Notamacropus eugenii: one gene and its partners. The protein of the gene in region 1 purifies or fractionates together with the protein of each later gene. This does not show direct contact. Links are inferred from orthologs where the notes say so. Each region holds a gene or a part of one and is shown in the gene's direction. Other genes may lie near its edges. The genes, in order: CANX, LRRC59, ERLIN2 and BSG.

Evidence for each region.
Region 2: the proteins of CANX (region 1) and LRRC59 purify together in Homo sapiens (affinity purification with mass spectrometry; 3 studies listed by BioGRID and IntAct, with this or other methods). This does not show direct contact. The link is inferred for Notamacropus eugenii from reciprocal best matches to the Homo sapiens genes CANX and LRRC59.
Region 3: the proteins of CANX (region 1) and ERLIN2 purify together in Homo sapiens (affinity purification with mass spectrometry; 4 studies listed by BioGRID and IntAct, with this or other methods). This does not show direct contact. The link is inferred for Notamacropus eugenii from reciprocal best matches to the Homo sapiens genes CANX and ERLIN2.
Region 4: the proteins of CANX (region 1) and BSG purify together in Homo sapiens (affinity purification with mass spectrometry; 3 studies listed by BioGRID and IntAct, with this or other methods). This does not show direct contact. The link is inferred for Notamacropus eugenii from reciprocal best matches to the Homo sapiens genes CANX and BSG.

Annotation. Positions count from the first base shown.
Region 1 is NC_092872.1:416,716,771-416,724,732, reverse strand, and holds the start of CANX (calnexin), read left to right. Parts: upstream 1-4,960; 5' UTR 4,961-5,142; intron 5,143-7,962. UniProt on the Homo sapiens protein: Calcium-binding protein that interacts with newly synthesized monoglucosylated glycoproteins in the endoplasmic reticulum. It may act in assisting protein assembly and/or in the retention within the ER of unassembled protein subunits.
Region 2 is NC_092873.1:360,388,769-360,396,570, reverse strand, and holds the start of LRRC59 (leucine-rich repeat-containing protein 59), read left to right. Parts: upstream 1-4,788; 5' UTR 4,789-5,179; coding exon 5,180-5,284; intron 5,285-6,706; coding exon 6,707-6,766; intron 6,767-7,802.
Region 3 is NC_092872.1:623,278,575-623,286,275, reverse strand, and holds the start of ERLIN2 (erlin-2), read left to right. Parts: upstream 1-4,686; 5' UTR 4,687-4,808; intron 4,809-6,063; exon of another isoform or gene 6,064-7,701. UniProt on the Homo sapiens protein: Component of the ERLIN1/ERLIN2 complex which mediates the endoplasmic reticulum-associated degradation (ERAD) of inositol 1,4,5-trisphosphate receptors (IP3Rs) such as ITPR1.
Region 4 is NC_092875.1:69,278,759-69,286,555, forward strand, and holds the start of BSG (basigin), read left to right. Parts: upstream 1-4,790; 5' UTR 4,791-4,907; coding exon 4,908-4,974; intron 4,975-7,797.

The DNA of each region.
Region 1 (7,962 bases):
TAAAAGCTCTTATTCATGTCAGACAAGTTACTTATGTGTCCAAGGGGAAAAATAAAAATGGGAACCAAGTCTCCTGGATCAATAAAACCAAACCTCTGTGTCCCTTGATTATACAGCATGACACCTTTAGTGAACTTTAACAGACATACTCCATGCTCCAAATGTATGACCTTGAAACTTAGATGTAGTTAGGGAGAATAGCAGGCTCCCCAGCTGCCTTTCTTGACCTTCTGTACCCAGCACAGTCAGACTAATGGAATAAATAACTACCAACACTGGGTATCATTCTTGGTTGTTTTTTGTTTTGGGGGGTTTTTTTGCTCATCTTGGGAAGAAGAATCTTTCCTTACCCCAAGGCTCAGTTAGGTGGGATACTGAATGAGGTAGAAAGGAATGGGAAATCAGTTTTGTTTATTGACTCCAAAACATGAAGAAGAATTCTTTCCTGAAACTGTTGGCCAAGGCCAAGACATTTATAAAGGCTCCTATGCCTGCCTGCTTTCAGCAAATATCCCATTTTTCTCCCAATATATTTTTATTTTGTTAAACATTTCCCAATTACATGTAAATAAATTTTTAACATTTATTTTTAAAATTTTTGAGTTCAAAATTCTTCCTTTCTCTCCTTCTTGAGAAGGCAAGCAATTTGATATATGTTATACATATGAAGTCAAGAAAAACACATTTCCATGTTAGTCATGTTGCAAAAAAAGAAAAAGACCAAAAAATCCAAACAAACAAAAAATCAAATTCTAAGAAAATTAAAGTAAAAAATTATGCTTCAATCTACATTCAGACTCCATCAGTTCTCTCTCTGGAGGTGAATAGCATTTTTCATCATAAGTCCTTTGTAATTATCTGGGATCATTACACTGATCTGAATAACCAAGTTATTCACAATCATGCTTTTATTATGTACAATGATCTCCTGCTCAATTTTTGGATCAGTTCATATAAGCCTTTCCATATTTTTCTGAAACTATCTTGCTCATCATTTTTTATAGTGCAATAGCATTTCATCACAATCATATACCCCGCTTTGTTCAGCTGATTCCTAGTTGATGGGCATTACTTTGATTTCCAATTCTTTGCCACCACAAAAAGAGCTGCTATAAATATTTTTGTACTGTTTGTACCGTAAAATTTAAAACTGATTTTAATTATATTTTAAAGAATCTATTTAAAGAATCCTGTAATTACTCAGAATTCAATTCTGTTCTGAATTAAATCTTCACCCTTGTATTGTCTACCTTTGTAACCTCATCCACTACTCACTTAAGTTCAGGGGTGTATGAGGTGTTTCAGGAGGACCAGCCTCAATGGTGTGAGGGCTTGCTGAGCCCTTTTCAGAGCTACTCCACCAACTTTCGTGTCCACCTTTCACCTTTTACTTAGCTATCACGTAGGGCTCCAAGAAGCTGTAGAATCCACAAAGGGCCACCCACTACCAAATTGGGCAGATGGGCCAATCCAGTTTGTGGGTAACCCAAGGGCCTCAAACCTGTGGGTGAATGATAGGGATGCCTACCCTAAGCATGTAAACTCTTCCTTGGCAAAATAGGCAGATGAGAACAATTTGTTCAGCCATGAAGGCAGCTGAAGCAGTCCCTTAAAGTGAAGAACTCAGATCTTGGTTAGACATTGAAGATTCCAAAGTAATCCACTACATCTCCACCACCGCCAGTCTTCCTGATTTTTATCTAGCCACTGGCCTATGATGACTCAGGAGGAGAGGGTGAGGTTGATGACTTTGTGCAACTCTATCTCATTTAAATCAAATTCACCCAAGATTCAAGTTATTGGTCCTCTTAAAAAGCAAAAGGAAAACAATTCAGATTCAAGTTGATTCAAGTCTGTAGGCTAACCCTTTCAAGTTAGGATTGCTTTTATCTCCCCAAAAGGAAGAAATGAGAAGGAACTGAGGTGATTCAACCCACCTCCTCTTTAGAAGATAATACACTTAGAGCACCGGAAATTTTTCTCTGTCATCTTGTCAATTGTTATAAAAGACCCTGTTAGCCCTCACTCAGGGTCTTTGGTCATTGAGAGAGGCCATTGACCCAATTTATTGGGTACTGCTTGCCTAACTACTAAATGTATCATGTTTGGGATCTTGTTTCTCAGTTTATCTTGATTTCAATCATAACAGTACATATAAGTTCTTTTCTTTTTTCTTTGATCTCTTTGGGATACAGACCTAAAAATGATATTCCTGGGCCAAAGAGTATATAGGCCTTTGGGAGTAGTTTCAAATTGCTCTCCAGAATGGTTGCATCCCTTCACAACTCTACCAACAGTTCATTAGTGTCCCAATTTTCCCACTTCGCCTCCAACATTTGTCATGCTCCCCTTCTGTCATATTAGGCAATCTGATAGGTGTGAAGTGGTACCTCAGAGTTGTATCAATTTGCATTTCTCAAATCAATAGTGATTTAGAGCATTTTTTCATGACTATGGATAGCTTTGATTTCTTCTTCTGAAGACTTCCTGTTCATACCCTTTGACCGTCTATCAAATGAGAATGACTTATATTCTTATAAATTTGATCTAGTTCTCTATATATTTGAAAAATAAGACCTTTGTCAGAGAAACTTGCTGTAAAATTTTTCTTCAATTTCCTGCTTCCCTAGGTATCCCAGTCTTAATTAAGGAGGTGAAAGGTTATTTGTATTTGGGAACCCTTCTCAAGTTTCCTTTGGCTGTACTATCTGTCCCAGATATACATGCTGATAGGCAAGTACTATAGGTTGTCCAGCCAAATTTATGTTGTAATCTGGGTAAAAGGTGCTCTTCTTCCACTTGGCCTTTCTGGTATAAATAGTCCAGTCAGACTTCTTTGACTGATTATTGGGCTGCCTATTGGAGTTCTGCCTCTAATAGATTCTGGTCATGTGACCAGACAAGTTTACGTCTCAGTGTCTTTGATAACTCTAAGACAAGCAGTTACAGAGGAGTTTCCTCAATGAAAGCATTTTTCACAGGAGAGCTCCCCAAAATGATGAAAAAAAAATCTGTTTTCTCCTTCGCACACTGAACATACACAGTTCCTTCAGCTGATCATGTCCAATTCCCTCCTCCATCCGAACTGCCAGACTTCTTGTTTCAGCTTGTTCACGGGGTTCCTAAAATACAGCATCCAGAACTGGACACGGTACCAGTGCAAGCGCTGCCAGCTCCCTCCCTCCGGACACCAGACTTCTCTTGGTGCGGGCCAAGGTTGCACTCCTTTGGCTGCTATGTCATACTGTGGATTTAGCCACATGACAGGGCTGCGCATGAGGGAAATAGCTTAGAAGAGTACACAAGTGTGCAGAGTGGGCTGGGGAGAAATTGGAGACAGAGAATTTAGAGGGCTACTGAATCAGCCAAGAAGAAGAGCCTGAAATGGGGAGGTGGCGGAAAGGGGGACTCAATGGAGACGGGGTAGGAGAGAGGGGTCAAAGGTAACACCATGGTTTTAATCCTGGCTAACAGAGGGGAAGGCTCTGCCCTTGACAGAAAATGCCAAAAGGGTCAGTTTTGGCAAAAAAGTGACAAGTTCCAATTTAGACGTGTTAAATTTGGGGTACGGTAGGGCATCCTGTAGGCATTTGGAAGTGCACCCATTTAATAAGGGTGCCCCAAGGGAAAGACAGAGAAATTGGGAAACATGCCCTTTCCAACTCCATCAAGCACAGGCCTCAGGCAACAGGGGCAGTTGTTTCCCAAAGCGGAGAAGAACGTCTGGTGAGCCAGCCCAGAGAGCGGATGGACGCAGGAGAGGAAGGGGGTGCTGGTGTCATAACACAGACCAATAAGGAAACGTATCCCGGCCTTGAATGTTTAACTTAAACTGCTATCCCGGCCGGGGCTCACAACACTGACCCTGAATGAAAGAACAAGATCCCTCTTCAAGCTCCGGGTTCAAAAAGCCCCAAAGTCACAGGAGGCTGAGGGGCCTGCGGTCGTGGGGGCGGGGAAATCAAGCCCGAAAGGCTGGAGAGATCTCCGGGGCCTGGGAAGCGTGACGTCCGGGTGTTTAGACACATTCACCCAGTCCGTTACTTCTTCGGTACTTCTACGGCCAGCAAGGCTTCACAGACAAGGCGGCACCGGCCGTTACCCACGCGGGACGGTCTGCTTAATGCGCTAACTCGGAAAACCACCCGACTGCGCGCAGATCACTGCATCGCTGTCAAGTCTTTGGCCTGCCTGGCCCGGCTGCCCATGTGTACACTGGGAATGCGAATCCCATTCATTATCTGTGCCAGCCCTTTCAAAAGGAGGCGAGCTGGGAAGCCTGGGTGCTCCTAGGCCAGTGCCTCTCCAGCCTGTCTACGGGGGGGAAAGTGGGAAGAAAGTGTCGGGTCGCAAAGCCCTCACAGGAAAGCAACGAACGAGCCGGGCTGGCTAGAGTAAAGCGGGCGGCAGGCCCGGGAGGGTGCCCAGCGGGTGTTTATCTCTAGCTCCGGGCCAGGTCGCCCCTCCCTGACCCAGGAATCTGCACGCCCCGGCTCTCTCCGCCCCGAGCCAATCATGAAGGCGGGCGCACGCGCGCGCGCGGGAAACCGAAGGGGGAGTCAAGGAAGAGAGGGGGAGAGCTAAAATCCTGGGTCATTTGCACTAGCGCCACGCGGAGACCAGGGCTACCGACCCTCTTCTAATCTCCCAATCCCAGGCTTCCACAGGAGGCGGACGGGTGGAGTCCAGTGCTACAATCCAAAGGCCGTCACCGCCCAGTCTGGTCTATTCCTGGCCCACAGTCAGTCGGGAGGGCCTTCCCTCCTTGCTCTTGCTCCCTTCCCCCACCAGCTGTCTTCCATCCAATCAGCAGGCACTTCCTGCCCTCCCTTTTAGCCAATCCGCATCCTCCACGAAGAGTAGCCCTAGGGGGCGTGTGGAAAGGTATCTGGAGCGATGGTCAAACAGACCAATGGAGTGCTAGCACGATGGGAGAGAGGCAGGGTTGAGATGCAGCATTGACCAATCAGAAACTAGGGGTGGGGCCTGGGCAGGGCGCCGCGCGCGTTGGGGTTCGCTCGGCGTCCTCCTAGTCCTGAGGCACGTGACGTTCGCTTCGGGACGATCCGCTGCAGCATCCGAGGTGCTGGGCGTGGGGCGAGGGGGTGGGAAGTGGCGCCGGCGCCGGCCGCGAAGCACGAGGTGAGACGGACGCAGCTGCCCTAGTCCTGGGGACTTGGGCGGCCGGGGTCTGGGAGGTCGGTTCACGTCCGGGGCGGAGGAGGGCTGGCCTAGGCTGGCCAGGCTTGAGTGGTGGGGGAAGAGGCCTGAGGCCCTGGGGACCAGAGGACTGGTGGGAGTGACGCGGTCTGGGGCTGGGGACCGGGACTGCCCAGCGGAAAAGCAGGATGGAGCCCGGAGCCGGGCCCGTGCGAAGATTTGTGGGAGTGGAGAGGCCTGCGGAGGGAGGCCGGACGGGAGGTCAGCGGGGCCGGAGCCCGGAGGGGGGCGTGACCTCCGGGCCGGGCTCGCCGCAGCGGGCGGCGGCCCAGGCGCCTCGGAGGCCCGCGTGCCCCTTGTCTGTTCGCTCATCCCCAGGCGGGCGATGTGCGGCCTGGCCCAGCCCGAGTGGGAAGGCCTCTGGGGAGAGACAGGCCTGGGGCGGCGCGGGGGAGAGAGAAGCCATCTTCCTGCGTTTAGGCAAGAGCCCGGGAACGTACCGGACGAAGAAGGCAGACCCTCCCGGCCACGAGGTGGCTGAGATGTTGAGAAACCAACGATCTCGAAACGGGGGCAGGGTGGGAAAGGGGACCTCGCTCAGGGGGTAGGTAACTTGTTGGGAAAGAAACTGCTGGAAGACAGGTCGAAAAACTTGTTCCTAAGTGTTAGGAACGTGGACGTCTGTCTATATATAGTTCTTCATTTGTCTTTAGAGAGTCATAAGTATTCCAAAGAGTTTTGGGAATCTTATCTCTGGAAAGATAACCTTTCCAGGGCCGATCTCCTTGTTTTAGTGGCCCAGAGAAGGGAAGCAACTTGCCCAAGGTCACACAGCCAGGTGATTGGCAAAGCTGTATGGAACCTCATTCTTCTAGTACTTTCTTTGGTGGTCTTAAGCCCATACCATTTTCTAGGTCCCTTAAGCTCTGATACAGTACTAGAAGTAATATTTTCTCTGTTTCAGGCATTATATTCTCACTTTTAAATTCTGTCTTCCACGTGGGTGCTCCCCATGAGACTTTTCTGTCCTTCGACAAGCACTCTCTTGGCTATACCACTATCCAAGTTTCTAACCCTGTGCAGATAATTCCTCAATTTATAGTTCCAGACACATCTCCAAATGCCTAAGGAATATCTTCATTGGACATCCTACAGAGACCTAGACCTCAACATGTCCAAAAGCACATTAATTATATTTTTATCAAAACAGATTCCTGAGTACTGGTTTGTATCACCACTCTCTACCTAGTTTGCCCTGAGGGCAGCGGTCCTTTTGCACTGGCAGGTGTTTAACAAATGTTCGCTGAATTGATTAAAATTTTTGGAGTCAATCAGTGTGACTAGATCTTCTGGAATCCATCCATTCTTGAACTCTTAACCAGCCCTTTTCAATCTTTCATTCCAATGCCAAAATAACCTTTGAAAATGGATCTGGTCATGCCACACTTACAAACAAAAGATCTTTTTAAGTGGCTCTCTCCTGCCTACTGAGTAAACTTCAACAACTATTCCTGGTATCCAAGGCTCCAAGCCTGGAATCACCCCATCTACCTTTCCAAACATTATTCTTTAACATGTTCTGATCCAGCCAAACTGGACAACCTTGTGTTCCTGAGCGCAAATAGCACACTCAACTTTATGCCTTTGTTGAAGTTGACCCTCTTTTTCCCTAGTCATCTTGTGAAATCCTACCCAGCTTTTAAATCCCAATTTAAATGTTAACTTCATCCCAAATGCCTTCTTTGATAATAATCACATTCTCCTCAGACCTCACTGGCATTTTGCTTTCTAATTCTTCAAGGTTCTTATATGGTATTGTGTTGCAAATTCATATTGATGTTGTATTTCTCTAGATTTTTAGAGGATAGGCAGTATACCTTCTATATGTTTTATAACATCACATAACCATTGCTCTGTATTGGTAGGTGCTTAATAAATGTTTGGGGATGGGAACAAGCATTTATTGAGCACCTGCTATGTGTCAGGCACTGCACTAAACATTTTACACATATCTAGTTGAGATGTTGGGGAGAAGGCAGGGAAATTTAGCTGTTTACCATAAGCAAAGGCATTTATGCTGATGAAGAAAAATAAACTTGGAGTTGGTGGTAAATCTCACCATTGCCACTAAGGGACAATTTGGAAGGCAGTACTGACATGTGTCTACAATATGGGAGAGGAAAGAAATATGCTGGAAGGGAAACTCCAAATTACTTTTAATTTTGAATTAGATTTTTGTGTGGTTTTGAATATTGCTTTGGAATCGAGCTTTGTTGAATATTTTTTTAATGGGGTACTATTGTGATGATCTGTTACCAAATATAAAGTGGATCTTTCTTGAGCCATGGAGGCAGCTTTTCTTTTGATTCTTTCGCTCTAGTCCGGGCTTAAGAGTAATTGTCAATTTCATGGTAATTCTCACTTTGTGCAACCTAATGTAGTAGGTGAATGAATTATAAAGAAGCTTTGGTTAAAAAAAAAAAATCTTAAAACTGAAATTAAAGTGACATGTATTGGCACTACAGGTATATGTAGTAAGTTAAATTTGAGACTAGACAGGACTTTTTTCTGTTAAGATATTGGGGGATCTGAGTATTCTTTTCTGATTTTACTAATACACAAGTTGTATCTATTGTAAGTGCCTTTATCACAGTAAACGCAGATCCTTGGTATCAATATGGAGAGCAGACTTTTGTTTTTGATAACTAGCATTAAACTGCTGAATGATAATCTTACAAAGCCCACTGAGTTAAGTGGTTCTAGAAGAAAAATCCTTGCTGCTACTTTGTTACATAATATTAG
Region 2 (7,802 bases), on another chromosome or scaffold:
AGGAAACCATATACAGGATAAATAGGAGATAATGAACACAGGAAAGACCCTGGAAGTAATAGGGTTTGGGGGAGACTTCCTATAGAAAGTAAGATTTTAACAGGGAAGGTGGGGCAATGAATAGCGTGCTTGGCTGAAATCCAGCCTTGGATAGTGAATTGATAATTAATTTATGAACTTACGAAATGGGGCAGGCACACTTTGTTCTTGGGGTACTTGCCAAGAATGACTATGATAACAGCTGCAAGAAAGGCTGCAGGTGCACTTGAAGAAGTTGCAGATGTAGGGACAAACAGGTACAGAAAGTACTGAGACAGCTGGAGAAAGGGTTATAGGAGGCAGATAGTCTAGGGACAGGGGCAGGGTGATGAAGGAAGGCCGGCCGCATAAGAATGCAAGGGCAGGTAGAGGGGCACAGATAAGCATGTAACCATGGATTAGAGGTGGGGGCATGTGAGTTGGCAGCATGATCTGATGGAGATGGATGAGTGTTTGGGGGCAAGAGTTTGAGGTCTCAGTTTGCAGGGTTTTGGGGAGAACAGATGAACTCTAATAAGTGCCACCTTGGGGTTAGTTCATTAACATATTCAAATCACCTCAGAGCTGTCAGTAAAACATTAAAGTTAACACATCCACATCAACACAAAGTTACCAGCACCATTTAGCGTTTTGCTCGTCTTACTGTGAATGTCTGGAACTTCTCTGAGATTTAATATCACAGGACCAAAAGATCCTGACAGGAAAGGCTTGATTCAGAACATATGACCAGGATGTGATTTTTGGTTAATAGATGATATGATTTATAAATTATGCTCCTTTGATCTTGGGGACTGTTTATACGTGACTTCTGGTTTGCTCTTTGCAATCTTACTTTCTGCTGTTGCTGCTTTATACTGACTACTCATAAACTTCCTTACTAGAAAGGATATGGGAGTGCAGGGAACCAGAACAATATACAGTTTTAACACAGATACTTACTAGCCATGTGACCCTGAACAAGTCATTTGACTGCTGTCTGCTTCCTTTTTCTCATGGAAGGCAATGGAGGTAATGATAGCACCCACCTCCCAGGGTGGTTGTGAGGCTAAAATAATAGTTGTAAAGCATTTTGCAAACTTGAAAGCACAATATAAATGCTAGCAGCTACTATAACTACTCCTCCTACCACCACCACCGCTACTCCTACTACTACCACCACCACCACTATACTACTACTACTGCTTTCAAAACTGTCCCATATGGCTTTGCTTCCTTCTGAAGTTCTTTCTGTTCTCTTTTTTGTAATTAAAAAATTTTTCAATGAGTATTTTTTTAACTAATATTTTTAACCTCCCCTCCCCAATCCCTAACTAGGAGAAAAAAAAATAAACAAGAGTCGGAGGAGAGTACTTTGTAACAACTAAAAATAATCAAGCAAAAAGGAATCCACACTGGAGCCATGTACCTAAAATGCATATCTCTTTGTTCATCTGGTGGTATCATTTCTCTGATGGTATGGTCTTCTTTGAAAACAAAGGACAAACACAACAACATCTGGTCTCCCCACCTCAAGCCTCTCTCTTCTGCAATAAGACTATTTTGTGTTGTCCAAGATCACCTAACTAGGAGGCACCACATGAAAGATACCAGGGACCTGCTTCTGGGAGAAGAAATAATTAATTCCCCTACTATATGGATGGGAACAGTGTGTTTCCACAGGCTGTATCTTTAAAAGGAAGAGGATGTGTTCTCTCTGCCTCTGTCTTTCTCTGTCTCTTTCCCCCATTTTCTCCCTCCCTCTCTCTCCTTCCTACCCCTGATCTGTCTCTCTTTCTCTCCTTCCCCTTCCTCCCTCCTTCTTTTCTTCTCTCTTTTCCCTTTCTGGCACTGTATAAGGCAGAGAGGTGCTATACATCCTCAGCACGGAGCTGCGGGCCGGGGTGGGGGTAAGAACCACCCTCCTTTTCCCATGAAGGGCTTTATTCTGTTTCATTTGTTCTTTTCAGTTCTAGGTACAAGAAGTGGAGTCTCCAGATCTGGACTTGAGCCACAGTGATCCTGGAGGATAAGATTCCAAGCTAGATGTTATTGCTAACTTAGCAGAGAAGCCCTGAAGAAGCCAGGTGACTGGGACTTGAGCCCAAGGGATGCTTTGAACTTGGAATTTGGTGGGACTCTGCTATATAGGAAATGAGCTAAGTTGTGAACCTCCTCCCCTTCTTCTCTTTAGAGATTGAGGTGGTATTGGGGAGAGGGAGGAGGAAGAGAATGTTTTCCATGTTTGTTCTTGCTATATTTTTAAAGCAAACACTCCTTCCTAAAAGCAAATCCAACTATTAACTGATTAAATGGAACTGGAGTGCCAAACACCCCCTAAAATTGGGAAAACCTCATTGGTGGGGGATTGAGCCAATGGCAGAAAGACCAGACACTTCCCAAACTACTTAAGGGTACCAGAGAACCCTGGGGGGAAAGATGAAATGTAGCACACTTGGTCTTCAGGCAGTGGGCCAGAATAGGCACTGTAATGCTTCCAAATATATTTTCCACCTAGCAACCAAAAGAGATTTTCTTAAGTGTGGATCTGATCATATTATCTCCCTCCTCGGTGAAATCCAGTGGCTTCCTATTGTCTTTACAATAACATGCATGCTATTCTGTTTGACCCTTTGCAAGCTGGGCCTATCTTTTCAGTCTCTTGTCCATGACTTCTGTTCTCCAGATAAACTTACCTTTTTGCTCTTCCTCACACTGGCCACTCCATCTTTAATCTCTGTTGCCTTGGCACCAGCTGACCTGCGTGACCAGAACTACTTCCTCCTCACCTCCACCTTCCAGATAGTCTCTGATTTTGTTCATGATTCAGCCTTGCAGAATTCCTTACAACAGCAGCAGCTAGATGACATAGGGGTTTTGAACTTGGCACATTGGAAGACTGATGGTGCCTTCGTCAGAAATAGGGAAATTTGGAAGAAGCAGGGCAGGGCAGTTTGCTCATTTCTAAAACAGGAATAATCATATTACACAACCTTCAGAGGTGGTGGTGATTATTTATTCATCTGTGTGAAACAAAATGAGAATGGTATCTTTTGAATCAGAGAAAAACGTTTCAAAGAGCGATGATTTGGATTGTGTATGCATCTCACAAGGTGCTGTCAAGTGGATAAAGATCTGACTGAAGAAACTGGGTCCAAGAGATCCATTGGACACTTTCTGTGTGACCCTAGACAAGTCACCTAACCTCTTAGTTCTCTGAGCCACCCCATAAAAAGGTGAGGATCAGTATTAGTAGAGAGTTTCCAACAACAATAATTAATAATAGCTTACATTTATATGGCATTTGAAGGTTTGCAAAGTGCTCTACAAATATTTCATTTTAGAGGAGGGGAATGGGAAGGGAATAAGCATTTATTTAGTATATTCTGTGCTGGGATGCTTTACAAATATTTTATCATTTAATCCTCACAAACACCCTGGGGGGGGGTGTAGGTGCTATTATTATTCCCATTTTGTAGAAGAGCAAACTGAAGGAGACAGAGATTAAGTGACTTGTCCAAGGTCCCACAGCTGGTAAGTATCAAAGGTCAAATTTGAACTTCAGATCAGATTTTTCTGAGTCCAAGCCTATCTATATGCTGAATCATCAAGTTGCCTAATCAATGATGCCTCAGATCTACTATATACATGCATACATTGTATGTAAGAAGGATTTTGTTATCTTTTTTAGAGTTCAGTTTCTCAGGATCCATGGGCATGGCAATGTCTAGTTTCCAGGTGTTTGACAATAATTCCCAGAATAATTCCAATGATTTAAGATAGCCATTCCCAGAATCACAGTGACAGTCCCACCGAGGCTGTGCGGTGGGGTAAGGAGTGACATAATATAATATTTACTATGCTTGCGCAGAATGACGATATTGCTGGTTAACCTGTGAGCTTAATGCTGGCAAGATGCCTTCTTTGTTGCCGTATAAAGCAACTGGGCACTGATCAGTGAGTGGGGGGGGGGGGGGGCCGAACCACTGGTAATGCATAGAGGAATGAGGTAGGAATACCTTCCTCAACCAGCTCCCATTGAAGTTTGAGGAGATTTAGAGGAATGCACAAACTGTGCCTTTCTCAATTTATGCCATGGAGAGGTAGGGCTAGTTGCCCCCTCTTCTTGCAGACCTCTTGGAGAAGGGTGATTGGGGAATGCTGCAGGAGCTGGTTCTCCCATTATCATCAACCTTTAGGAGAAGACTAGACTAGGATAAAGCTGATTAGTAACCCCTCTGAAGCTGTCTGCCTGTCTGACCAGATCCAGAGTAAACCTGTTAGAAGCTGGATTCCAAAGACCTCCAGTGCCTCCTGTATGTTACCTGTGACACATACATATGTGTGTGTATGGATATATACAGTCTATACAGTGGATCTGATGTAAATTGTGTACATGCAGAGTTAAATACTGTGTATATGGTGTGAAGCTATGTATACAAATAGTGGATCTGTGTACGTGTATATTCACGTATGTATTGTGTATGTGTGTGCATGTGGATTTCTATCTGTATCTGTAGACGTTATACAGTCTCTTTCCTGAAATACCTGGAGAACAGGGACAGTTCCATTTTTGTACTTTTATCCCCAGTGCCTACTACAGTGCCTGGCACACAGAAGGCGCTTAATAAATGCTGACTCATTGACTACACGGTTCAGGGTCTAATACGTTCGCGTGCACAACCTCCAACCCTCTTGCTTAGAGCGCAGACTGTTTTTCCACGCGCACCGCGGGAGCCTCCGCAGCACTAGGGGGCGGCATCGCGCTCACTCGCGCATGCGCTAGCCTCTCTAGCCCCCCTCCACCCGAGGCGCCTCGGTGTCTCCCGGAGGGAAGACGTGGACACGGAAGTGGCTGGCGGCCGCAGTGACGGAGGCGGGAACTGGATCGCGGAGTACCGCAACTGGCCGCGGAATCCTGGACGGAGGGTAGCGGGGGCAGCGCCAGGCCCGCGGGTACGAGGAGGTCGGAAGGGCAGGAACGTGGCGGGGGTCCGGGCCTCAGGCTTCTGAGGCTGTTATCGCCAAACGGATCCCTGGCCGTTAAACGGCCGTCGCGCGGAACCTTGCGGAGTGCCCGGGCGCGTGCCCGCCGCCGGAAGCCGCCCCCTCCCCCTGCCGAGCCCTCGCGCGCCCCCCTCCACTCCCCACATCTCCCGGAGCCATGGCCAAGAGCGGAGGCAAGGGGGCCAGCCTGCGCGACAAGCTGGACGGCAACGAGCTGGACCTGAGCCTGGGCGACCTCACCGAGGTGCCGGTCAAGGAGCTGGTCAGTGTGGGCGCCGTCCTGGGCCCGAGGGGGAGCAGGGTCTGGGAACCGGGGCCCTGGACTGGACACGTGTCATTCTGGGGGGGAATGGAGCCCCGCTACTAGCCGGGGCCGCGGAGGCCCCGCTTCCAGGCCCATCCCGGCGTCTTAGGCGATGCCCCTTCCCCCACCCCCGGGCCTCAGTTTCCTTCTCTGTGAAATGAGGGGCCGAGACGCGAAGATAGTGTCCGGCGCTGACCTCAGGTTCAGCCGATCCGAGGCGTAAGAGAAGCGGGGCGCCTGCTGTCTCTTTCTTAGGCCTGGAGGAGTAGGCCTTCCTGGAGACCTGGGTGTGGCTGAGGATTGGTGACAATTGGGAATTCTGCAATCCCAGCTGCTCGAAGTCGCCCAGAGCCATTGCTTGTGCTGGAAAAGTTGGGCTGAACTGGTGGGTCCGTCTCGAACATGTGGAAAGTGGATTGAACCCTAGAATGTTAGGACAGCCAGAGACCTTGGGGATCAGGCTATTCATTTTTACAGAGGAGGAGTTTGAAACCCCAAGAGGGGCAGTGGCGTGCCCAAAGGTTAGGATGCACACATTGGGGAAGGAGTATTCGACCTAAAACACCGGGGTTCAACTCTTGGCCCTACCACTTGTTAACATTATGATCTTGGGCAAGTCACTTTCCATTTCTGGACGTCATTTTCCTCATCTGTAGACTGAGTGGATCAAGACTAAATAAATGATGCCCCCAGAGTCCCTTCCAGCTGCAGTTTTTTGGTTCCTGTCTTATCTCTGGTCTTATTCTCAAATTCTTTCAACTCAAAACCAAATGGAGTTGGGTTTCCTGTGTTTAGCAAGGCATATTGGACAGGAATTCTTAATGGCAGTTAGATATATTTGGGGGGGGGGGTCATAAACTTGGATGGAAAAAATATATTCACTAACCTTTCATGGAAATTTAGTGTTTCCTTCCATTTTGAATTTTGGAAAACAGAAAAAAACAACTTTATTCTGAGAAATGGTCCATAGGCTTCATCTGATCGCCAAAGGTGTGGGCCAAAAAAAGTTAAAAAAAAAAACCAAAAAAACAAAAATAAAGCAACCCTGCTCTAGTCAGAAGGGGTGGTTCTGAAGACTTTTTAAGATGGATCTAGTATTGCTCTGAAGCCCTAAGTACTATTCTAGTATCCAAATTTTCCTTTGCTACATGCCCTGTGGCCACACTTTGTTCTTTCTATACTTTCATAAGTAACTGATGGCTGGCCTCAGTTTTTGCTCTATTTTTTGAACCCTGTCATCATTTCATTCTTGTTTTGTGCTTTTTAATCTATTCCGACTCCTCTACTTTAGAAGATATTCCATTAGCAAACAGATGTCACCAAGTATAATAACCTCTGACCAAATATGGATTTTACCTTTCTCCTCTGCTCTTTTCCTAGGCTGCTCTTCCAAAGGCCACAGTACTGGATCTCTCCTGCAACAAACTTACTTCGTTACCGGTAAGATGTGGTTCTCCTCCAAGTACCTGGGGGGATGTCCTTGCTCCAGGCTGGGGGACATGCCATGAGCATGAATCCGTAGGAGAGCCAATGGCTCTAATCAAATATATGGAGGCTAGTAGTTGTTATTAGGAGGAGCGATCAATAAGGACAGTCTTAATTTAAAATTATTTTACTGAATTTTTATAATGTGTAAGACCCTATGGTATATGCTGTGGGGGATACAATGAAATACATTTCTATCTTCATGGAAATTAAAGTCTAGTAGGGGAAATAAGATGACACAAATTAATCAAGAAAATAATCAAGCATAATCAGAAAACTGTATAGTGCTATAGAAGCTTAGAGAAAGGAGAAATTACTTCTGGTTTGGGTGATGTGGACTGAATGAATAAAGCATGTAAAGCACTGTGTTATGGCTGGGATACAGACAGAATAATCAAACTTCTACTCTAAAGAAGCTCACATTCTGATGGGGAAGACACATGGAAGGTTTTAACTGCTAATTGAATGAAAAAGTCCGTGGTCCTTAGGGTGCAGTAGCAAAGCAGATGGTAATGGCTCTTTAATATCATTTCCACCAGTAAAACGTTTGAGGAGGTAGAATTTGCGTTAGGTCTTGCATGGTGGCCAGGTCGAAGGTAGAGGAAATGATACTTCAAGTAAGAGTAAACAGCACATGCATAAAAAGCAAGAAGTTTTAGGCCATGTTTAGGGAAAGGAGAGTAGAGTTATTTTGCTAGTGTGGAGTGTATGTACACCTATATGTGTAGTAGGTATGAAATCTCAGAGGAGCTCAGTGTTCATGTATTTATCCCTGGCAGTAGAGACTGATGGTGGAAGAGTAGGGGTGGTAGGGCCAGCAGAGGGTGTCTGTTGAGATAACTTAGGTCATCAAAGCTGCTAATTTGAGAATGGGAACAGATAACTAGTTCCTCTTCTGGGCAGATCCAGCAGAAGCCATGAGTCAAAGCCATTCTTGGGAACTGGGTGAGAAACCAAGAGAAGCAGAAGGGGTATGAAGTCATGAAAACTT
Region 3 (7,701 bases), about 210 Mb from region 1:
ACCCCCAAAGTGGCCAGATCGATGCCTCAAGGAAACTGCAGTTCCCACTTCTCAGCTCTGCCCCTACAAAGTTCTTCTCTTTACTGCCAAGCTCTAGGCCACCCAGGCTGGGTACGCCACCCCCACCCCCTGCCCCCATCACTCTTGGGCACATGGAGGAGGGGTGGCCCAGGGGAACAGGACAACAACACAAAAAGCCACACGAACCGCATATACCCATGGAGGTAGCTCTAAACGTTAGCGCCTGGGCAGGAGAAGGGGGTGGGGGTGGTGGAAAGGGATGAGGTTTTTCCAGCGCCATTCGAAACTGTCAGGCGAGTGATTAATGACCAACAGGTTTGGAATCGCCTTTATTGCCAGATCAGTATTGTTGCCCGTGACAGCTAATGAGGTTGGACAGGCTTCTCCACAGTGAGCTTTATGGGCCCCCGCTCCCTCCCCTGCAGAGCTCACGAGCCCTGCCAGCTTTTGTGCACAAGAATGCTGGAGCCCCCCAACCCCCAACTGACGACCCAAGGCCACCTCCCCAGCGCCACAGGCTGCAGTTGCCCAAGGCAGTGGCACCTGGGAACAAAGGCCCAGAGCAAAGGTCTCCTTGCCCTGGGCCACCTCACCCAACATGAAGGCATTGCCCCAGTCAGGGGCCAGGGAACTTGACTAGGAGGCCAGGCCTGGTGGGAGGGAGAGGGGACTGGGAGATGTATACAAAAACTGTGAGAAGAGCAAGACCGAAGGGAACCCCCTTTTCCTTGGATTTAAAAGCGACGAAAGGCTCCTGGACTCCTCTTCTGGCCAGTCTGACCGACTACAGGCAATCTGCCTTAATGAGCCCATTCCAAAGCGAACCAGTAAAAGTCAAAGAGGATTTTTATACACTCACCGCTTCAATCAAGCAGTTGGGGGCGGAGAGAGAGTGGAGAAAAGGGTAGGAAAGAGGGAAGGTAGTACTTCAGAATAAAGGGAGGTGGGAGGGAATTTAGGGAAGAGGAGGGGCTAATAAAAGTTAATATATAATAACAATAATAATCTTTTCCTTTAAAAAAATAAACAAAAACAAACCCCTCTGCCTTCAGCAGTGTTAAACCATGTCCAGAAGGTTTCTGTACAGAAACACAGTCTGGCTCCGGTGGAAAACTTTGCAAAGCACAGGCTTTGTTTTCCCGGCTCTAACAAATAATATTTACCTTTGTGCAGTTTCACATCTTTATATGGTTAAGCACGTGTTTGCCCGTGGTTTAATATTTGAAGGAACCAGAGCAACGTAATAAGCAAACGACTCAGAAAAGCCCCAGAAAAACCCCACTGCTTAAAAATCTATTACTTTTCAATGTGATATAAATGTATTTTGCTTCTGCTCAGAGCAATTTCCTAGTTTACTCTTATTAAACTGGGAGACGGCTTCCCGGCGTTCCTTGATTTATGAAACACATACTAGATTCATTAAAACCTTAAAAGATTTAATACATTTTATCAGGACATTAAATCTGTGCCGGCTTTTTAAATCAAATACCTGCCATATTTCATCTCCCACACCCTGCACACTTATTTAAGAACAGTAAAATGTGGCCTGACAAACATTATGGCTGTTTCGGGCCTGATTTTTTTAAGTGGCATGAAAGTCCTTCTCAGTTGGATTTACAACAAGGTCCCCTCCCTAAATCTGTCCTTCCAGAGAATAAGCGATTCCCTTCTTTGTGAGCCAATCCATTAGGATGAGTTCATGGTCCCCAAACTTTTTCTTTCAAACAGAGCAAAGAGGTATTTAGATCAACTCCTTCATTTTTCAGACAAGGAAACTGAGGTGGAGGAGGGTGCATGGTTTGCCTCAGGCCACACAGCTAATTACAGTCAGAGCCTCCACTCAAAACCAACTTTCCTGACTTTCAGCCCAATGTTCTTTATATTATACCATACTACACATCTTTCCATGAAATAGAAACAAAATCACCTAGCCCCAGCAGGAGATGAAATAAAAAGTCTTCTCTTTCTGAGGTTTCTAACAACTTTATTTCTGCAGACCCAAGCACCAGATTACAATGTATAAAGAATGAGTAAGAATTATGGTGGCTTTGAACCATGGCCTATTGTGGGCATTTCTGATTTAGCCACTTTATGATATGACTCTCAGGATTATAGGCTCTCAATCACAGATTTGGAGTTGGAAGGGACCTCAGTGGTCATCCAATCTAATCCCCTCTTTTTACAGATGAGAAACCAATTCCCATAAAGGTTAAGTGACCTGTATAAGGACATATAGTCAGTAAGCAGCAAAATCAGAATTTGAACTCAGATCCTCAGACTCTGAACCCGGCATTCTTTCTACTGTACCATGTTAAAATCTAGAAATCACTGAGCTTTCTGTGGTGGAATAAGAAGAGATATTTCACAATCACCACTCTCAACTTCCTAAACAAATGATCCTGTTTTCTGTGAAACTGCTCCTTCCAAGATTACCAACAACTGTCTTCCTTGCCTAAAGCCAGTGACCTTCTACCAGCCTTCATCAGGTGGTGAAATGAATAGAGCGCTGAGCCTGAAGTCAAGAAGACTCATCTTCCTGAGTTCAAATCTGACCTCAAACACTAGCTGTGTGACCCTGAGCAAGTCATTTAACCCTATTTGCTCAGTTTCTTCCTCTATAAATGAGCTGGAGAAGGAAATGGCAAACCACTCCAGCCTATTTGCCAAGAAAACCCTAAATTGGGCCATGAAGAGTTGTGTCCAACTTGACAACAACAAAAAAATTCTTCTTCTCTTCAGCTCTTAGGCTTTGTAGGATACCCTCCTTTAATTTTGTAGAACTGCTATTTCCTCCTACTTGTCTTACTGCTTCTTCTCAGTCTTCTCTGCCTGATCATGGGTCTCTGATTTCTACCCCCAGGATAAATGGGAGTTTCCCCTATGACTGACCTAAGTTCCTTCCTCATTCCTTCTAGGCACCCTCTTTCTAGGCATCCACAGGCATAGCATTTATTTCCATTTTTCTTCTCCTCTCCAATTTTGTATCTTGGACCTAACAAAATACTTACAAAAACCGAAGATGTAAGACCCTTCTTTCCCTTTGCAGACACTTTGCCACAACTGAGAATGAAGGAAGTGATGGGACACTGTTCTCCTCAGACTACACCTGGCATGCTGCATTGAGTTCTGAACTCATAAGGACGCAGTAGAAAGGAAACTGTCAGGCTAAAGAACCAGAGAAAGGGAGCTGAACAGAGAACAGACGGATGGGAAGATGTCACATGGGAATCTGTTCAAGTAACTGAGGATGCTGAGCCTAGAGAATATTTAGGGGAGGCATTATATCTATACAACTGTCATGTGGAAGAGAGATTAAACCAGTTTTGCTAGGCTCCAGGGGAAAGAACTAGGCATAATGAGTAGATAGATGATAGATAAATAGATAGATAGATGGATGGAGATAGCAGACATAGATACATGGGTAAACAATAAATACATAGAGTATTTATTAAATGCTAAGCATAGAGATATAAATAAGAGCATGCTAGACAGTCTCTGCCCTCAAGGGTCTTCCATTCTAATGGGGAATGAAATCTATAAAAGAGATCTGCACAAGGACAGAGTGTAGAAGGGGAATACATTTGTCATGGAGGTATCTGGGAATGCCATAAAGACCTAGAATTGAGCAAAACGAGGCCAATGTTGACCAAAAGCCAAAGAAGGTTCCAAGGGGAAAGAGCCCAGTTTTCCAGCAAGAAAAGAGTGGAAATGATGGCCAGAGTGAAGACTTGCAATGGCCAGAGATAACTGCAGAGAGGCAGACTTAAACTCCACAGAAGGAACAGCCCCTTCTTAATCATTAGAGCGGTCCAATGGTACAAGAAGCTACCCTGATGCCCATCATTGGAGATCTTTAAGTGGAGGCTAGAAGATCATTTGTTGAAAACAGCAGGATATGGCGCAAAGTGCACTAAACTAGAAGTAAGGAAAGACCTACACTTGAAATCCATCTCTGACACTAGCTAAGTGACCCTTGGCAAGTCACTTGTTTCTGTCTGCCTCAGTTCCCTGAACAGTAAATGAGGATAATAGTAGCACCTCCTTCCCAAGGTTGTGAAGCTTGAATGACTTCATGTTGTGAAGCCTTAGCACTTAGCACAGTGACCGCACATCATAGGCACTTAAGGCTCAGTCCTTTCCTTTCTACTTTCCCATCTATCCTTGGCCACTCTTGACTCTTCCTAACACCAAGGCCAACCTCTATGTGTTGTGTCCTACCACCTCAGTCATCTCTGGAGAGAAGAAAGCTGAGTCTCGGAGAAGTGACGTGACCCGTCTAAGCTCTGGCCAGGCCTCGCCCGCCCCCCTTCCAGACCCTCTTTCTCTCTAACACGAAAGGGTCCCGTGATTTCCCTCTTAAAGACATGAGCCCAGCTTCCCTGTCTGTGAAATGGGGAGACTTGATCCCTGCATCCTGGGCCAGGGCAGGAGGGCAAGACCGACATCCTCCTCCTTCCCCCTCACCCCCATCTTCACGACTTTCTATTCCCCCGTCTGCCCACCCCACAGGACTCCATCCATCCATTCGCTGCCCAGGCCCTCCCGGGGGTCGGTGGGACCGAGGGATGGGCGCCCCCTTGTGGCCGATCGGGCCGGGTGAACGCGGCCGGCTGCAGAGGCGCGGTGGGGGCGGGGCAGGGAAGGAAGGCTCAGGGAGAGAGGGAGACACAGGAATTCTGCCCCCCGCGCCTCCTGATGACGTGTCACGGCGGCGACGGACCCGGAAGGAGGAAACGTGCTGTGCTGAGCGGAGTGGCAGCGGCTCCCCGGGGAGGGAGCTCGGACAGGTACTGAGCGCCAGGAGGGACAGCCTTAGACGCCGCCCCGTCCCGCTCCCCCAACTCTCTCCCCTCCTGGGGCCTCCCCCGCCCCCCGCCCCCCCGCTCGGGCTCCCACCCTCCGGGGCGGGGGTCTGCAAGCCCACCGCCTTCTCCCGACTCCTGCCACCTCTGGGCCTCAGTTTCCTCGTCTGTCCGCGGAGGGGGAGGGGGGCCGGACTCAAGGATCCCCAAAGCCCCTTCCGCGCCTGACCCTCGGTCACTCGCTGCCCCAGGGCGCCGTCTGCCCCCCGACGTTGCTTGGCCCGCCCCGCCCTGGACGGACGTGAGGCCCGAGGACCACGCCAACGACCTGGGCAGCTTTGGTGTTGTGAGGGATAAGGCCCAGCCTCGGACTGACCGTCAGAAGCCGCCCATTTCCGAGATGACCAAGCTGAGGCCCGGGGAGGTGCCGTGGCCCAGAGGCGGTCCGGAGCAGCGGACTGGGCGCCAAAGCGGGGTGATAGCGAGCGCCCCCTCCCAGGGCTGTGGTGAGGGTAGCTAGAGGGCAGCCGAATGGCCCGGTGGGCAGAGTGCCCGGCCTGGGGGCAGGAAGACTCCCCAGCCGGGGACCCCGGGGCAAGCCCGTAACCCTGCTTTCCTCTTCAGTAAAGTGAGAAGGGGAAGGAAATGGCAAGCGCTTCAGGATCTTTGCTAAGAAAACCCGCCCTGGGGCCACGGAGGAGCCGGACACGACTGAAGAAGCGGCTCAAAGTCAGCTAGGCAAAAATGCCAGCTAGTGTAGCGTTCTTTGCCAGCTTTAAAGCGCTGTGTTAGTGCTAGGGAAGGAGGAGTGCACTGCAAGTCTTAGAGCGCTGTATAAATAAATGCTAGCTAGTGCAAAGTTCTTCACCACATCAAAGCACCATTTAAATGCTACCTAATGTTAAACTGAAGAGCCAACGTTCAAACCTGCATCTGCTGGCTCCAAATCCAGAATACTTTACACCTCAACCACATGCCTCCTGGACCCCAAAGTGGGACTTGATCAAGCCCCACCTTATCCATAGCACTCTTTGACCTCTCTGTTGCACCAGCTTTTGATCCAGTCTGGTGGCATATAGGGACTGTTGAATCCAGAGACCTCAATCTTGGCTTTTTTGCAAGTGTAAGCTAATGCTTTGAGGATACCTGCTATCTATTTCTTTTCCCATTCTCCTGCCCACCTTCTGTTGAAGGAGAAGAAGGTAAAATTCGCTGATAGGGATTCAACTAACCAGCTACTGACTAATATTTCCAAACTGTATTCCTTCAGCCCTTACCAGTATAGTTACAGCGACTTTGTTTACCAAATGAAAAATCATTACACATGGTTGGACAAAAGGTATTTTTTTCTTCAAGGCCTCTTTCCTGATTGGAAAACTGAACAGAAGTGGAAAATCTAAGAAGTGGCTGCCACAGCAGTAGTATGTGCACCCTCTCAAAAAGAACTTATTTTGTTCCAACAGTCCCATGACATGAAAAATGGTCTTGGCAGTAAATCTTGGGTGCTAAGGGCCCATAAGAGTTAAAAGTTGACCCTTATTATTCAAAGGTCATTGCCAAAAAAATAAATGCAGTAATAACTTCTCTAAAGCTTTCTGATGTCTAAGCTCAGCTGGATATTCATGGCCAGACTCTAGACTTCTGAGCCCTTTTTGCTTGTCTCAACAGATATCCTTGGGGAATAATCAGCTATAAAGTGTTATTCAAGTACCGTGTATAAGGCAGTGCTGTGTGTTCAGTCGTTTTCCCAAGTGACAAGTCCCTACCCTACTAAGGGCCAAATGAATAATGGGGGAAAGGAGAGAGGAGGAGGCACTCTAGAAAATCCTGCCCTGGAACCCTGCTGTGCGTATACTGTCTATCACCCTAGCATGTGAAAAGAGTAAATAACAGTTTCCTTTGAAATACCCTGCAGTTAGCATTGGGTGGCTCTGGCTGGAATTACATAGCCATAGTCTCCTGTTCGTTTGACATCCTGTATAATTTGGTCAGTCAGCACTTGCAGCTGGCCTGTTCCCCCTTGACAAATATATGTCCCTTCAGACTGTGCCATTGGAAGATCAGTTAGTTGAGAGCCTGAGGGTGTTTAGCCAAAGGAGAAATGTAGGAAGGACAGGATCACAGTTTTCCAGTTTTTCAAGGACTGTCAATAGGAATTGGGATTATACTTATTTTGCTTGGTCCCAGAAAGCACAACTGGATACCTTGGGCAGAAGCTGCGGGACAGCAAGTTTCAGCTCAATACAAGAAACAGCTTTCTGACAATTATAACTATGCCAAAAGTGGGATGGGCTACTTTGGGAAGGAGAGCCTTCTCAATCACTACAAGCCTTCAAATGGAGCCTGAATGATGACTTGTTATTGTGGTAGGAGAAGTGATGCCTCTAAAAATCCTCTCTAACTCATGAGATCCTAGGTTGTTTAGTGTCTCCAGGGCTCTCAAGAAGAGAAAGATGAATCTGAATTCTATCCTATGCTCTCCCTTGGATTATAGGACTTTTTAGGAGATAGAAATGTTGTTCAAGAGTTTTCCTTCTACTGATCCTTAAGGGACAATCTTTGGGGCCACGTAAGACAAGATCCTGGGTAAAGAGCAACAGAATTAGAGGCAGTCTAATACCCATAAAGACTCTGGAGAGGTTTTGTAGTAAGATGGTTAGTTGTTATCCTTCGTTCTTGAAGAGGACCAAAATGACATCACCATGATAAAGTGAAGTTTCAACGTGTACAACTGGCTGATCACACCGATATGAGCTCAGAGTGCCCTACCACAGATTGAGCACAGATAGTCCACATGAACATTTGCGGTGGTTGCTCCAAATTTGCACATCCTGCGTTTCCTTTGTGCCATTTCAGTTCTGCTTTGCTCAGAGAGCGT
Region 4 (7,797 bases), on another chromosome or scaffold:
ATTCTTTCTCTACATTAAAGAAATCACAAATTTGAACCAAAAAAAATTAAATAAACAAGAGTTATAATCTCTGCCAATTACTCCTATCAAGACAGTTGTGAAGGGAGCCTTCTGTTAACTCCAAAGTGCATGAAACATGAAAGTCCCAGCAGTCCCTCCCATTCCTCTAACGATGTCCATACATTCCCCTTACTTCTCTTTGCTGTTTCCATTTCCTGTGTAAGCTCTGAGGATCCTTATCCCAATTCCCCCTCTCACTGAAAGGTTTCCCCAAAACATGGCTACCTGTTCCTCCTCAGGGCTCTAGGGGTATCCAATTCCAAATCCTCTGACATTCTGAAGTTCCCCAGCTCCTTCCTTGGTGAGGGAGGAGGGAGAGAAGGAGAGAAGAAAGACTACTTTTCTTCCCCACCCCTACTAGTTTCTCCAAGTAATTCTTTCTCTGAGGTAACTATTCTCTTTTCTAATCTGTCAGGCACTTGAATACTAGGTTCTTAATTGGCTTGTTATTTTTATAGAAAACCCAAAGAACCTGACCAAGTTTCTTCAGTACGTCACAACACATTTCATGTTCCATCTAGCTGAACTGCATCGATAAATTGATTGATCGAATGGTTCGTATTTTTGGTTGATTTGATTGAGAAATCTGGTGAGCTCTCACCCTAGTATGTATACTAGGCCATCAGAGGAAACAATTAGCTCTAAATGAAACTGTTGTTTTGAATCCGTCTCTTACAGAGGCTATAGAAACTGTTACTGCCTTTTTAAGAGCATAAGAAGTTAAATGGAACTCTGACAGTATGGTTTTTTGCGGGAGGGGGGGGGGAGGGGGGGGCGGGGACCATGGATTGAAAAAGTCAATTCAGATGTGAAGTACCTCTCCTTAGAGTCAGGAAGAAAGTGCTGAGTGTTTGGTTTGGTTTGGTTTGTGTGTGCAATCCATATGGATCTATGAAATATCAGCTGAGAGAGGTCTGACTGTGTATTTTTTTTCCCTATGGAGTTAGGGAGGTAGTGGGTGTTTCATCGGTGATCCACAACGATCTAGAAAGGAAGGAGGAAGGGAATTAGCATTTACTTAGTGCCTACTATATCTCATCTGATACTCACTGCCACCCTAGGAGGTAAATGCTAATAAAATTATCCTCACTTTACAGTTGAAGAAATTGAGGCAGACAAAAGTTAAGGCTAGAAAGAGATGTTGGGGCCAGGCTGTGAAAGGCTTTATAAACTAACTAAACAGGGAAGTTTACATTTTATCCTAGGGGCAATAGGAAGCCACTGGAATTGATTGAGTAGGAGAGTCACAAGGTCAGATCTGCCCATCTGGAAAATTACTTTAGCAGCAGTTCAGGGGACGGACTGAAATGGAGAAAAACCTGAGTCAGGGAGACCAATTCCGAGGCTGTCATAATAATCTAGGTTGAAGGGGATGAGTGCATGATGTAAGGTAACAGCCTGGCACTGACTGAATATGTGGGGTGAGGGAGAGGGAGGTGTCCGGCATGATGCTGAGGTCACCCACTTGGGAGACTAGAAGGACATCTGTGTTTTTGACAGAAATAGGGAAGTTTAGAAGAGGGGGGAGGGTTTCAGGGAGAGATAATGAGTTCAGTTTTGGACACATTGGGTCAGAAAAGTCTCCTGAATATTCAGTTTGCAGCTGGAGATGCTGAACTGGAGAAGTCAAAGGAAAAAACTCATATCAGGACAGTATGTGAGTCATCTCTGTAGAGGTGATAGTTAAACCCATGGGAGTTGATGAGTTACCAAGAGAAAAATTACAAAGGGAAGAAAGAAGAGCCTGTGATGGAACCCTGGGGAACCCCAATCATTGAGAAGCTTGATCTGAATAAAGATTCAGCATAGGAGCCTGAGAAGGTTGGCCAAACAGGTAGGAGGAGAACCAGGAAGACATAATGTAATGAAAACTTAGGTGAGAGTAATCAGGAGAGGGTAGTCTACGGTGTCAAATGAGTAAGGAGGATGATAGGTGATGAGAAAACTCCATTAGATTTGGCAAATATGAAATTATTAGTGAAGTCAGAAAGGAGAGTCTCAGTTAAGTGATGAGGTATGAAATCAAACTCCCAAGGGTTGAGGAAGGGAGAAGAGGTAGTGTAGACACATCTTTCTAGAGTTTGGCTGAAAAAGTGAGGAGAGATGTAGCTGGTAGCTTGAGAATATGGTAAGGTCTAGTGAGAATTTTTTAAGGATGGCAGAAATTTGAATACATTTGAAGACAGTAAGGAAGAAATAAACAGATAGGAAAAGGTTAAAAATTTGAGAGGGGGGGAGAAGGACTGAAAATGCATCCTGCTGGAGAAGACAGGAGGGGACAGGGTCAAGTGCATATTTAGAGGGGTTGACCTTGTCAAGGAGAAAGACTACCTCTTTGTCTATTTCATTAAATAACAAACAGGGCAGCTAAGTGGTGCAGTGGATAAAGCAGGAGTCAGGAGGACCTGAGTTCAAATCTCACCTCAGATACTTGACATTCACTAGCTGTATGACCTTGGGCAAGTCACTTAACCCCAAATTGCCTCATCCTGGGTCATCTCCAGTCATCCTGATGAATATCTGGTCACTGAATTCAAATGATTCTGGAGGAGAAGTGAGACTGGTGACTTGCACAGCCCTCCCTCACTCAAAACAAAGTCAAGTGCAAATCATGTCATTATTTCTCCGATGGCATGGTCTTCTTCTGCAACAAAGGATAAATGCAAATAACAAACATTTTAGTTATTTAATTTTTTATTTAACTTATTTAATTTCATTTCAGAAACATAGGAGATGATGTCAACAGGTTTTGAGAGGAAGAGAATGGGAGAAGAGAGAACTCATGTTAAATGGCCTTAATTTTCTCAATAAATTAAGAGGCCAGAGTCTTAGTTTTGAGGTTGAAGAGCAGAAGGAGATCTGGGAGGATTGAGGAAGGAGGAGATTGGTTCTGTCGTTAATGAGAGAGGGAATCAATTAGAGAGGAATGAAAAGATTGCCTTGTTTCAGAGAAGGCTCTGTTGAGATTGCAGGACATGAATTAATATTGTGCCCTGTCAGCACAGTTTTGAGACTTCTTGCAATTCATTTAGCAGCTTTGGAAGAAGAAAGGAAAGAGAAGGAGAAGGAAGAGAAGGAAGAGAAGGAAGAAGGGGAGGAAAGAAGATGAGGTTTGGCAAGGGAGGACCAGGAACAGAACTAGGAGATGAAGGATATTCAGATCCTGCCTCAGACACTTACTAGCTGTGTGATCCTGGGCAAGTCACCTAATCCTGACTGCCTCAAAAAAAAACCAACCCTAAAACAGAGAACTGTGTAGAGGTGAAATGTCTAATTGTTAAGTTGAGAATGGAGAAGGAGAAAAGTATTCATGATGGAGGATATAGAAGTCTTGATGAAGTTCAAGAACAGTTGAAGCAGAGGGAGATAGGAAGAAAGGGGGATTCATGAACAGTCAAGCAAAGGAGAGAAGATTTATTAGCAGGGTAACCATGAGGAAACACACAACCTCTCTGGGTCTCAGTTTCTTCATCTTTTTGTTAACTCTACTCAGTTTCCAAGCACTTGTTCTACTCATGATTGCCTGTGTAAAAAGCAGTGGCTTGTTTCATTTTTTAAGTTATTTGATTTAGTTTCAGAAACAGTGGTATGACTGACAACATCTGTAAACAGAGGGACAAAATGATCATCTTGCAGATTTTTCTCTGGAGAAAAAGAAAGTCCGTTAGCTTTGCTTTGTCTAGCAAAAGATTTCCTCTAGGCTGATGTTGCACCTGAAGAGCACACAGGTGACCCTGGACTTGCCTTGCTGATGCCAGGCTAAAAGAGGAGAGAACAGATGCCAATTCAGTTCGAGCCAACAATCATTAAGGGCTCCCTGTGGATCATCTTGGATATATGAGGGTTGTGTATGTGTTCCTCCTTCGCTTTCGAAGACCATGACATCAGGGAAATGATGACTTGACTTGCACTTGACTTTGTTTTGAGCGAGGGAGGGTGGATCCATGAGGGACTCGCTAGCTCAATGAACCTATGAGCTCTGCCACGCAGGGATACCCAGGACGGAGAGGTCATAGCGGAGAGTTTTGGCAATGGCAATCCACTCCTGTAGCTTTTCCAAGAAAACCCCAAGGAGAGGACCAGACAGGGGTGCTGTGGTCCACGCTGTCACGACTGAACAACAAACGGAAAGACAGGACGCCGAGCTGCGTGTAAACAAAGACTGAGCCATGGGTGAGTGTGGTGCAGAGATAGGGCAGGATTTGGAGACGAGAGTCCTGGGTTCGAATGCTGACCTTGCCACTCACTAGCTCTCTGACCTTGGGCTACTCATTCACCCACGCCACGCCTCAGTTCCTTCGTTTGCAAAATAAGGGACTTGAGCTAGATGACCTCTAAATTCTTCTTTAGATCTCTGATTCAGAGGTGAGATCTGAAGGGCTTTAGAAACGAAAGGAAGGTGAAATAAGTGGAGGGTAGCTCAGTTTACTTTGCGGGAGGCCCTAAGCGTGCACAAGCTCACATCTTCTGACCTACAAAGAGCACTCCTCCCGGCCCCGCCCGTGGGCGGGCCCTTCGTCACTTCCCTCTCTCCCTTTCCCACAGGCCCCGCCCAGTCTTCGGAGTCGCGGGCCTACTGGAAGGTGATTGGTTGTTAGAGGCCCGCGGGGAGGGGGAATGCAGGGGTGGGGACGGGGCTACGGGCGCGAGCCCGACGGCGTTCGCGTACCCGGGCTGCGCCTCTCCTTTTCTTCCGTCACCGCGTTGTGCGCGTGCGCTCCCGAGCCTCTCTTCCGCGGGCTCTTATAGCGGCGGCCGGAGCCCTACGCGGATCCAGTGACCGAGCGAGCTACCGAGCCAAGGCGCGGGTCGGCCGCTCGAAGACTTCGGGACCGCGACGCCGCGACATGGGGGCCCCGCTGCTGTGGCTGCTGGCGGCAGTGCTGCTGTGCGCTCGGGCCGCCTCCGGAACCGGTGAGTGGGGCTGGGGCCGCTGGAGGCCCCCGCGGCCCGGGCCCGGGGACCGTTGGGGGTGAGGGGACCCAGGGTGTGCCCGGGGTGGAGGGGTGAGCCATGCGGGCTGAGGAAATGAGGCTCTGGGGGCCCCGCGGGAGGGACACAGGCTGGAGGATTGAAGTTCAAAGGATTGGGGGGGTCGCGGGTTAGGGGCCTCTGAGGTTCAAGGGGTCCCGACGGGAGAGGGGTGCAGACTGGGGGCCTGGGGTCCAAGGGGTCCTGGAGGGGGAGGGGTGCAGACTGGGGGCCTGGGGTCCAAGGGGTCCTGGAGGGGGAGGGGTGCAGACTGGGGGCCTGGAGTTATAGGAGTCCTGGAGGGGGAGGGGTGCAGACTGGGGGCCTGGGGTCCAAGGGGTCCTGGAGGGGGAGGGGTGCAGACTGGGGGCCTGGGGTTCAAGGGGTCCTGGAGGGGGAGGGGTGCAGACTGGGGGCCTGGGGTTCAAAGGGTCCCGGGAAGGGTAGTAGAGGAGCGCAAAAACTAGAGACTTGAGACCCCGAACGCTCGGGAGTGAAGGGCCCCCAACTTGGGGACAGGTAGGGGGAGATGAAGCCTCAAGGTTGAAACGCTGGAGGGGACCTGGTGGGGGAGCTATGACTGAGAAGAGTTGGGGTCCTGGGGGGTCAGGAGGGGGCCTTGTATGGGGGAGGCATGTGAGGCGGGAAGGGTCAGGGACCTCGGGGGGAGCAGCCTCGTGGGGGTCTCGGAGGGGAGAAGGGAAGGATTCTGCCTGGCGCCTGGCTGGTGGGGGTGGAGATGGAAATGAAGTGTGACCCTGTGTCTAGAGGAATGGGGGCGGGGCTTTGGGCCTGCGGAGATGGGGCCTCCCCCGGGTGGGGGACTTTGGGGTTTAGGTAAGGTTGGGGAAACTGTGTTTGAGGACCGAGGCTCCAGGCTCTTAGGGAAGGATGTCTGACTCACAGCCCGTTTAGCAACTCGAGTCTCTGTCACTCCAGGGCTCTTTATATTTTCAACCCCCACAAATGGGGTCTGTTTGTACTCAATTTAGGCCAGAGCTATCTAGCCTTCATGTGACATAGGGTGGGAAATGTTTATGTAAAGGAAGATATCTTTTCCTCCTCTGTTTAGTTCTGGATTAAAGCAATTACAGGCAATAAAAATTTTAGCTACAACGGTTTTGTGGGCTTGATGTTCTGAATTCTGGTGAGAAATTCAGCTTGACTGCCATTTACTGGGGGAAGAGTTTTGCGAAAGGTGAAATAGACTTCATTGTAAGGAATTTTTCCCCCTCTGAAAAGACATAATTTATTTTGTTATGAATGATGGCTAATAATAGGATATATGTGTTGTGCACCCACATGGAAGAGAGAGAAGATTTGGAGTACAGCTATGACCCTTGAGGGTTTTTTCATGAAGTCCTTTTTGGACAACAACTATAAACTGCAAGTATTACTGTCCCTATTTTACAGATGAAGAAAATGTTCCCAAGATGGGGAGCAGTTTGCTCAAGGTCATAGCTAGTAAATGTTGGAACTGGAAAATTTCTGCCTTCCATTTAAATGTTCTTACCATAACACTATACTGAAATTTCTGTATCTCTAGCTATTTTCATTTTAATATTCTCATTATTACTGTGTTTCTGATTTTTTCCCCACTCTGCTCCTTTTCTCTTTTTCATAATTAAAAACTATTTCAATGCTCCCTGCACTAGACACTTGTGAAGAAAGACGAGATCAACAAAAACGTTGAACCTTTATTCCCCTTTATATTGTAGCCCTGGGAAGAAAGAAAAGCTAGAAGAAAAGAAAAAATAGAAGTTTTGCTCTTGTACTGAATTAATTCACTTTTAACTTGTCTTTAGGTCATGCTATTTTTGCCACATGGGTTTGTCTTCAATTAAATTTTATTTTTTCATTTATCAAGCATTTATTCTCCCCTCCCCCATTTCTTCAAGAAAAAGTTTTTATAACCTTGTAACAAGTGAACATAGTCAAGTGAAACAAATTATCCATACTGTCCAGATTTTAAAAATGTGTCTTATTCTGCATATTAGTCCGTCCCATCTCTCTGTCAGGAGGTGGGTAACATTCTTCATGATTGGTTCTCTGGAGTCATGGTAAATCACTGTCTTGAATAGAGTTCTTAAATCTTTCAAAATTGTCTCATGTATAATAATGATGTTATATAGTATAAATTGTTCTCCTAGTTCTTCCCACTTCACTCTACATCACTTCATATGAGTCTTTGAAGGTTTTTCCAAAACTATCTCTTCATTTCTTACAGCCCAGCAGTGTGCCATTATGTGAACATAATAATTTATTCAGCCATTCCCCAGTTGGTGGCCACTCCTGAATTTCCAGCTTTTTGCCACTACCAAAAACTGCTGTAAATATTTCCTATTTCTTTAGTTTCTTTAAATGACTCATTTTGTGCCATAGACAAGTTTGGTTGCATACTCAGGAAAAAGCAAAATAATTATTATTCCATTAGGATATTTTTCTCCCTGTGATTTGGTTCATCTGCTTTCTATTCTTCTCCTCACCTAAGGGAAAATTGACATTTAGTCCACTTAATTTGGGGGGAGAGAGGAAGGAGAGCTGTTCTCTTGCTGTAGTCAGATTGCTTGAATCAGTTTGATTTTTCTTGTAGTAGTTGAGATACCAAAGAAGAAGATTTCTTGACCCAGATTATACATCTTGGCTTTGTTTGTTCGTTTCTTGCCCTAATCTTGGAATGTAGCCAACTCCTAGTTTTCTTTAGGTGAATTATCTGCCTTATCTACAAAGAACTATAGAGTAAAAACCTAGAGGGGATCTTAGATG